Yarrowia lipolytica: one gene and its partners. The protein of the gene in region 3 purifies or fractionates together with the protein of the main gene of each other region. This does not show direct contact. Links are inferred from orthologs where the notes say so. Each region holds a gene or a part of one and is shown on either strand. Other genes may lie near its edges. The genes, in order: YALI1_E17171g, YALI1_A03402g and YALI1_D10865g.

The links.
Region 1: the proteins of YALI1_D10865g (region 3) and YALI1_E17171g purify together in Saccharomyces cerevisiae (affinity purification with mass spectrometry, with the first as the bait; 3 studies listed by BioGRID). This does not show direct contact. The link is inferred for Yarrowia lipolytica from reciprocal best matches to the Saccharomyces cerevisiae genes RSM7 and MRPS18.
Region 2: the proteins of YALI1_D10865g (region 3) and YALI1_A03402g purify together in Saccharomyces cerevisiae (affinity purification with mass spectrometry; 3 studies listed by BioGRID). This does not show direct contact. The link is inferred for Yarrowia lipolytica from reciprocal best matches to the Saccharomyces cerevisiae genes RSM7 and MRPS12.

What each region holds. Positions count from the first base shown.
Region 1 is NC_090774.1:1,716,003-1,719,028, forward strand, and holds YALI1_E17171g (mitochondrial 37S ribosomal protein uS11m), read right to left. Parts: upstream 1,311-3,026; coding exon 1,220-1,310; intron 1,144-1,219; coding exon 614-1,143; downstream 1-613. Other genes in the region: YALI1_E17162g (uncharacterized protein), read right to left, coding at 1-270; YALI1_E17184g (uncharacterized protein), read left to right, coding at 2,457-3,026. UniProt on the Saccharomyces cerevisiae protein: Component of the mitochondrial ribosome (mitoribosome), a dedicated translation machinery responsible for the synthesis of mitochondrial genome-encoded proteins, including at least some of the essential transmembrane subunits of the mitochondrial respiratory chain.
Region 2 is NC_090770.1:338,585-341,417, forward strand, and holds YALI1_A03402g (mitochondrial 37S ribosomal protein uS12m), read left to right. Parts: upstream 1-1,665; coding exon 1,666-2,175; downstream 2,176-2,833. Other genes in the region: YALI1_A03396g (uncharacterized protein), read right to left, coding at 1-1,032, 1,405-1,423; YALI1_A03422g (uncharacterized protein), read right to left, coding at 2,707-2,833. UniProt on the Saccharomyces cerevisiae protein: Component of the mitochondrial ribosome (mitoribosome), a dedicated translation machinery responsible for the synthesis of mitochondrial genome-encoded proteins, including at least some of the essential transmembrane subunits of the mitochondrial respiratory chain.
Region 3 is NC_090773.1:1,084,966-1,088,173, reverse strand, and holds YALI1_D10865g (mitochondrial 37S ribosomal protein uS7m), read right to left. Parts: upstream 1,577-3,208; coding exon 572-1,576; downstream 1-571. Other genes in the region: YALI1_D10858g (mitochondrial 37S ribosomal protein mS35), read left to right, coding at 2,291-3,208.

The DNA of each region.
Region 1 (3,026 bases), on a different chromosome or scaffold from region 3:
GAACACACGCTCCTTCGCCGCCAGGATTTTCTGCTTGAGCTGGTCGTAGAACTCTTCGGGATCGTACAGAACCTGGATCTGGCCCTTGTCCACGGCAAACTTGGGCACTGTGGCTTCAATCTGCTTGAGAGTGATGTTGACGTTACTGTGGAGACCAGAGAGTCCTCGGGATCCGCCGGTGAGTCGCATGGCTCGCGAAGTTCGGGCACTCACCACGCCTGCTCGTCGAGCTGAGCATACCAATCCAGCCAATCGGGCGTTTCGAAACATGTGTTCTGCTGTTTTCACAAGTACGATACTGTTGGTCGGGGTCGTTAGTCGGGATATTTCAAAACTGCTGAAGTTTATCCATACATGCGGAGATTAGTATGGGGTAGGAGGAGTGTAGCTGATATTGAAGGCAAAAGACATTTTGACCGAGCAATCAAGTGACTATGCACTTGAGATCAGATTGTTCAAAAAAGCAATACTGTGCGGTCATTGTTGGCCATTGTTTGTTCGTCATACTTGCCTTATTGTATCCGAGCGTTGCGGCTCATCAACATACCAGTACAGGCTACAGCATCGCTCAAACACCAACTATGAATACTATTCCTATGTACAATGCACCCGTTTAGACTCGTCGTCGTCCAGGAGGTCGGGTACCTCCCTGGTTGAGCTTGGTTCGGTCAGACAGACGGTCGACCTTGGAGGCCACCTTCTCTCCCTCAGGGGCAGTGAGAGCGGCAAAGAAACCCTCTCGGCCTCGTCCAAAGCCTCGGACAACAACCTCGACGGGTCGGGTCAGCATGCCCTTCTTCTCGAGCAGCTCAAAGGCTCGGACACTGGTCTGGAAGGCTCCGTCGTACTCTCCTCGCTCCTTCTTCTTAATGCCGAGATGTCCGCAAGAAATGTGGAATCGCACCTCCTGGGGGGCTCGCACCTTCTGCAGCAGCTTCTCGTCAATGCTCTCGGGAATGAAGGACTTGTCAACAAACTCGTCGGTAGCGCAGATGTGCAAGTTGTTCTTGGTAGCGGTCACATGGACGTAGTGTCGCACCACCTCCTTACCCTTGGCGCTCTGGTCGATCTGTCTCTGGGTCTCTCGGGCCTTGTTCAGCTCCTCGGCGTCCGTCTTAGGGATCTTGCTGATTTCCTTTTGCACTGTGTTAGTACGATCCGGAGTCGTTCCATCTTGGTCAGATCCTCAAATCAGCCTGCTCGCAAGCGCTCAACTCACGGTTCATGAAACTGGCGAGGCCAGAATTGTGTCGAACACCTCCGATGGCGCCCGTGGCGACTCGGGTCCGCAGCATCTGAAACCCTTGCATTTTTGTGTTAGTGATGACGCTGTGGTGGTGGATATGCGTAACCTTGACAAATTTGATTTTCCACCCGGCACGTGATGCACTTAGTCAGTGGGAGGAGTGTGCGGTGATAAAACCAAAACAAATTGGATAAAACCGCCATAAATATATAGAAAATTAAAAGAAAGAAAAAAGCCATTCTAATTGACTGTGTATTAAAGAGGGGAACCATTTATTTTGCAATCGCCTATCCACACAAATCAGCTAAATCAACTAAATTAACTAATCAAAGTCTCTCATACATACTGAAGACCACAGTTCAAGCTTGAAATGGTGACGAGACGCTGAACACTTGAAAAAAGTACATACTGAAAAAGGGTTGGAGTAAAGTAAGTAAAGGCAACCCTCGACTGTTCCCTCGACTGTTCCCCTCGACTGTTCCCCTCGACTGTTCCCTCGACTGTTCCCTCTCTGGCTCCTCTCTCTGTTGGTGTTCCATCTCATCTAACCCATAGTTTCAGCTCACGATATGACCTCAGTTGTACTGGTACAGTATGTACATACATATACGTACTTGTAGAGAATGTACATGCTCATCATACTCTGATACGTTTGAAACTCCATACCTATATAACCAACGTCAATTCGCTACTTGTACGGAGTGGTAAATGAACTACTTGCTCCTTGTTCCTGCTTCACTTATGTGGCTGTCATACCATACCATTCTCACAAAAAACTTCCAGCAAAAAAGTCGTACTTGTGCTTACTGGACTCTGCTGTTGGAAACAATCGTTGGAGGTTAATTATATTTTCACACGAAGACTAATATTGCTGACGAGCAACGTCCCCTCGTAATAGCTACAGTGTTGGCCAAAAGCCAAATGGATAGAGTATATGGGGATCCGAGGGGCCCAGGGAACCGCCTTAGTTGTCACCGGGTGGCCTCTGCACCGCAATTAGCCGCCAGTCGCGTGGCTCGCCTAAAAAAGATGTATTTAGACCGGGATCCAGCGATGGAGTTAGACGCACCCACGTGGATTGCGTACGCTTATCGCTATGCAAGGGAGCAACAGAGAAAGAGTGTGGCCTACTTTGGAGGAGAGCGTGTGAAAAATTGACACACACGACACAAAGTACAGTCACTCTGCACATTGCCATTCAGCCCGAATCATGACGCAACAGGAACGAGAAGCCACCCGAGCCATCCGCACCACCAAGGCGCCCTACAAGCCGTGGATTAGCTCGCCCAACGTGGGTCTGTCTTTTGCCTACCACCTGATTGGCTTCATCTCATTCGCCTCGTCGTTCCACTTTCTGGAACAGTACCCCAACCCGCTCAATGCCTCGTACGGAGGAAAGTACCAGTACCTGACCATTCTGGGTCTGTGCGGCAGCTACCTAGCGTTCTTGCTTGCTCTGCTGGCCGACGCAGCCTCGCTCTACTCCAAGGACTTCAGCAATCTGCTTTACCAGCTCAAAAACTCCGTGTCGGTGGCTGTGACGCCCCTCGAGTGCGTCATCACCGTGCTCTACTGGTCCCTCAAGCTCTACGACCCCAAGCTGCTCAAACACCCCGCCGTCAAGGAACAGATTCCGTTGTGGCTCGACATGTCCATCCACCTGGTCCCTGCCGTCGCCCTTTTCCTGGACGTGGTACTCATGGGCCAGCCCTGGAACCTGACCACCGTCCAGGCCGTAGTTGCCAACTTTGGTCTGTCGGCAGCATACTGGTTCTGGGTC
Region 2 (2,833 bases), on a different chromosome or scaffold from region 3:
CTCCGTACTCACCTCGGAACTCCCGCTCTCGTGGGGGAGGTCGGCTGTACCGGTCTCCTCCTCGCTCGCTTCGATCTCGGTAGGAGTCCCGGGGCTCTCGCATGTCTCGGGAGTCTCGAGGTGGGGGTCCTCGGTAATCTCGGGAAGGAGGGTATCGCTCTCGATCCCGATCATCGTACCGGCCACCACCGTAGCCACCTCGCTCTCCTCGGTATCCAGCACCGCCACCAGGGGCGCCGCTACCGGGGAATCGGTCTCGGTCATCATACCGGGGAGGAGGGGGTCGTCGGTAGTAGTCCTCTTCGTATCGACGGTCGTCGTATCGAGAGGGGGGAGGTCGTCGGTAGTCGTATCGGTCTCGGGAGTATCGATCGTCTCCGTATCGTCCTCCACCTCGGCCACCTCGTCGGGCCTTGGGAGGTCCAAAGTATCGACCGGGGGTGGGGGTTCGGGCTCGCTTTCGCTTGGCCTTCTCAATGGCAAGAGTCTTGCCAGCAAGCTCATGGCCGTTAAGTTTGGCCAGAGCCTCGTCGGCGCCCGTAACGTCGGCCATCATGACGAAACCAAAGCCTCGGGACTCGCCAGAGTGGGGGTCCATCATGATCTGGCACTTGAGAACCTCGCCAAAAGGCTTGAACAGGTCCTCAAGCTCGGTCTCATTGACGTATCGGGACACGCCAGTGACGAAGAGATTGGTGCCCTCGTTCTGGGCGTCAACATCGTCGTCGTCATTCAGGGGCTCCTTTGACCGTCGGTCCAGGTCTCTGTCGTCTCTGTCAAAGTCACGTCGGTCGTCTCGACGGTCAAGGTCGTCCCGGTCGTCCCGTCGGTCGAGATCGTCTCGGTGGTCTCTGTTTTCGTCGTCCCGGTCATCTCGACGGTCGAGGTCGTCTCGGTCTCGCATGCTGTGGTCTCGGTCGTCGAGCTCTCGGTCGTCGTGGGTGTGCTCAACAGGGGCACCAGCCTCGTCGTCATCACGACGGGGAGACACACTTCGTCTCTCGTAGGTCTGTTCAGGGGAAGCCGAACGGTCTGTGTTAGTGGATGCGTGTGGGTGGATTGGCGTGATGCACTGGTGCCGAATACAGACACTTGTGGTGGACAGATGCAGACCGAGCCCAGCACAACCTCATGGCGAACAAAATGGGTAGACAAATATGGGAACAGCTCCAACTGGACCCGTTCTGTGTCCTTGAAACAGGTTCGGCGCAATACACCTTTGCAGCGGGCACTTGTCGAGTGTCTCTTCTCTTCTCTTCTCTCATTCTGTCGTTGCGGTTGTGCTAGTATTCTTGTTGGGTGGAGAGCTCAGTATCTTTGCCAACAGATATAAGATACGGCTTGCGGTTGCTCGTGTGCGACAGTGCACGCCGCCTTGTGCGCTCGCAGGTATCAATTACTCACTGTATTCTTCGTCGGCCATTTTTCGTGTCTGAATAAGATGTACGAAGGGGTCTTCTGCCCACTGACTTTTACATTTCTGACGGGGGTTACCCGGAAGCCACACCCAACTATATACTATACATACACACACACACACACACTGGGTGGGTCTCCTTGGGAGTTGGGTCTCTGGGCTTACGGCCGGGTAACACTGAAATTTGCATGCAGTGCCACTATCTCAAAGCTTGAAGTCAGCAGTTTCGCGATCTCGAACTACACAAAATGCTTCGATCTCTGGGAGCTGCCCTCACAAACGCCCGAATGGGCATGGCTCGTCTGCCCTGGACAGCCTCTGCGCTCCCCAAGCCCACAATGAGCCCCACCCTGGCCGCTCTCACCGTGCGACACAAGACCATCAACCAGATCCAACGAGACGGAGGCCGACCTGTGCCTTACCGACGAAAGAAGTCTCCCGATCTCGAGTCGTGCCCTCAGCGAAAGGGCGTTGTTCTGCGAGTTCTGATTCTCAAGCCCAAGAAGCCCAACTCTGCCCAGCGAAAGGCCGCCCGAGTCCGTCTCAGCAACGGCAAGGTGGTGACCGCCTACATTCCCGGAGAGGGTCACAACGCACAGGAGCATAGTGTGGTCTACGTCCGAGGAGGCCGAGTCCAGGATACTCCCGGTGTCAAGTACCATCTGATCCGAGGAGCCGGCGATCTCGGAGCTGTGCCCAACCGAGCCAGCTCGCGATCCAAGTACGGAACCAAGAAGCCCGCTGCTCCGGGCGCCTAATGTATATAGTAATGGAGCATCAGCTAGCGACACGTCGTGAGCTGTGTATGTGATGGTTTTCGGGATGCGGTGATTCTGTAAATAATGGGATGTAGAGGAGGTTCCAGTGAGGGACTTACTGGAAGCAGAGTCGTAAAAAGGTGCTATTATTGAGTAGTTGCACAGTTGAAGTCGCTTATCCTGTGACAATGTCATGTTCCGGATTATTCTCCCGAACACTTGCTATCTGGGATCATGAACGTGGTTATCCTGGTCAGGACGGGAAAATGGCCTGCTCATCTACAAAGTCATCGAGCCTGGTCATATTGATTTAAAATACACGTAACAATCAAACTCTTCAGAGTGGTTACCGTACCAGTACCCACGCCAATCTATCTCGATAATGCCTTCCATACACCTTCACTACAGTCAGTTGTTATTCATATCATATTCATTACAATGGTACATGGAGACATACCGATGCATAGCTAGTTCCGACCGTTAGATGAAGAGAAGTCAATCAGCAGCACGCTACGTCAAGTTACTGGCCACCTAGTTGGGATGCTTGAAGGTTCTTCCACTGGCGGTCTTCTTCTCCTTGACCACATTCTCCTGCTTTGCTCGGTTCAGCACCTTGAGGAACTCGCTCACTCGGAATCGCATTCGCGAGTGCATATAG
Region 3 (3,208 bases):
TGAATGGTGTTTCTTACTTCTACTGTGATGTGTTAGAGGGGTGTGTATTTGATTGCTGTAGTGGATGGGCCAAGTAATGCGAATAATTCTCAAGTAAAGCCATGTAAATTTATGGAGGGTAAAGAGGGTCGATCACTGAACGAATACAAGTACAGATTGGTACCGGTACGAAAAGTACAAGTACATATATGCTACTTGTAGGGAAAAGCGACAAACATTAAGGGAAAATAAACACTCTTGGACTTCGTAATTACAACATCTTTAGAGACTCTCTTCCTTCAAGCTACAGTAGACCCCATCTAGTCTACAGAGGAGACGTCTTTCAGAGTGAAGCTCTAGAAACATACCACTGGTTGCGACTTCAAAGCAGTAAAGCAATGAGATCTATCTAACCACTGTTTGAGTATCTACAGTGAGATTGAGTCGTAGTGATCTTGAGCAGCGTATAAACCATACTATTATACTGTTCAAGCTCTCATGCACGGATCTCGTGTTTCATTCTTACGCCCATTCTCTCGGAGTAAGCTCCTCGATATCGGGATCTGTTCTCTCCTTAACTATATACAATACTCTACTTTCGGGGTCGGCTGGGGTCAGCATGGACTCGGTTGGCCACGGCGAGGTTGTGGATGACCAGGGTCTTCTCCATGAGCGACGCTCCCTTGGACTTAATGACGGATGCTATCTCCTCTCCGAGTCGGACCGAGAATGATCGGTTGGGCCGCTTCTCGGCGTTGTCGACGGACCACTTCCACACTATTCGTCGTCGCTGTCGCTCGGTGATGGGAACGGGGTACTGGACCTTTCGAGCACCAACGGGGGTCGACTTGATGACACAGACGGGGGCAACGTCATCAAAGACCTGCTTGAGCAGAGGAATGGGGTCGGCCTTGATCATGACCTGAGCGAGCTCCATAGCCTGGTAAAAGTGCCGTCGGGCAGCGTTCTTTCGGCCATGCTTCATGATCATATTGATCAGATGGGCCTCGAACTCGCCGTCGACCTTGTTGGGGATGGGCGCAGTCTTGAGAGCCTCAGCCTCGGCCACCTGCTCCTCGGTGGGCACAAACAGAGCCTTCTTACCGTTCTTGCCGGTGATGACCTGCTCAAACTGCGACTCAGAAGTGGGGTCGATGAGCGCCATGGGGTCGACCTTGTTGGCGGAAACGTCGCTGAAGAAGCCGGAAACAGTGCTCTCCTGTCGGTACTTGTCCAGCGTCTCTCGGAACTTTTGCATGTCCAGAGCGTCCTTACCCTCAAACTTTTCGGTCGACATGCTCTTGGCCTTGATGTCGTCCAACAGAGCAATCCACTGTCGAGCATGGCCCTCGGCGGTCTCGGGAGCAATGGGCTTTACGGCGTTGGCCTTGATTCGCTCCGTGTACTTGGCAGCAATAGCGTCTGTGTCCTCCTCACCCAGATCGGAGTTGACGGCCAGCTCCTGGGCAAGGGCCTTCTGGTCGCCGTCAAATCGGTCTGCTCGCACGTTCAGACCCACCAGGATCTTGGCGGGCGACGCCGAGGCGTATCCGCGACGGGCGGAGAACCGAGCTAGTCCTGAAGTCGTTCTCAGCATGGTGGTGTGTGTAGATGGTGATGTGAGAGTGAAAAGTTAGTTTGAGTTGGGTGTAGGAGAGGTGGTACCGGTGGAACCTGGGGGGGTTGGAGCGGGGGCCAAGGAGCGGTAAATTCGCAGAAATAAAGGCTGTAGGTGAAGTAGCTTGTCTTTTTGTATATATTTACTTTTTTCATTTTGTCATTTATGCTCCCATTCCATCATTTATCACATACCTCTTTATATCTCCAAATACAATCCTTGCAGCCTCAAAGTGTGTGAAATTTGAGGTGAAATTTCGGTCACTCGACTTTTTTTAGCTTTTCGGAGAGAGAATATGGGTATCAGTAAAATGGGGAGTTTGAGGACTGCAGCCTTGAAAAATTGACAGAATATATATTGCCACAGCGAAAATATTTCGACTAAATTTCACCCATCTATCTCTTCTTCAACCTCCTCAAATTCCCATTGTCGTCCAGCTCTATAGTATGAAGAAGGTTTTGCTTAGTTATCAGGGTAGGGTTTTTCCTAGTTGACACAAGATCTTTATATGGTGTCATTTTTTGCGAATAAAACACCTTAGATTTACTTTTCCAACCATGGGCTATTGATTCCTCTTTTCTTCATCTTTCTAGCCTTCTTACAGCCATTTCTGGAAACCCTCCCGCTTCTCCTCCATTTTCACTGCATTTTTTAACTTCTCACCACTGAACATTTTCATAATCATCACACAACATGCTCAGACTGGCAAACCAAAGCAGGGTGCTCCAGGGAGCGTTTGCACGAGCCACGGTTGTAGGCCGGGCCTCCGCCGTGACCCATGTTCGTTTCATGTCCGATTCGACCGACGTTCCTCCCTCGGATCAGTCCAAGCCCTCGTTCCGAACCGACAAGCGCATTGAGTCAGCCACTCCGTTTGCTGAGCCCTCCGAGATCCCCTCTGCAGACGCCTCTCTGCTTCCCCGGACCAACCGAGTCGAGGAGCTCCAGTTTGAGGCCAAGTACACGCTCGACGCCAAGACGAAGGAGGCTCTGGATACCATTGAGGAGCTGGGCTTCAAGACCCGGCAGAACCTGGATCCCGAGCGATTCAGCGACGAGGAACTAGACCCCAGAAACTGGACCGGCCTCGAGTTCCATGAGGTGGTCACGCGTCTTCACAACCGACAGTTCAAGCTCGGATCGGCCTACTCCCAGAGCGAGGAGGAACTGCGACAGCTGGTTCGAGCTGGTCGAGTTGCTGGAGCCGACGCTGGCGTAATCCGATCCGCCTACCACGGCAAGCATAGCGTCGTTGAGAAGAATGAGGAGGACGACGATCTTTTGGATGCTGATCACGTTAACGAGTTCATGTACGACGATATCCCCACTGCTGGACACATGCAGGTGGAGAAGGTGCGAAAGATGCGACACCTCCAGCGAATGTCTGCCTACGTGCTCCCCCGACTCGTCGATTATCATGTGCCCTTTGATGTCAAGGAGGCTGACAAGAAGGCTTCTCCCCTGACCTTCAAGTACACCTCGTACACCGGAGAGGAGGCCGACGAAGAGGCCAAGGTGGTCTGCTACTTTGACCCTGCCAACCTGGGTCTCTCCGACAAGGGCCTGCACAAGTTCAAGCTGCTGTCTGGACAGAACTACGACGCTCTGACC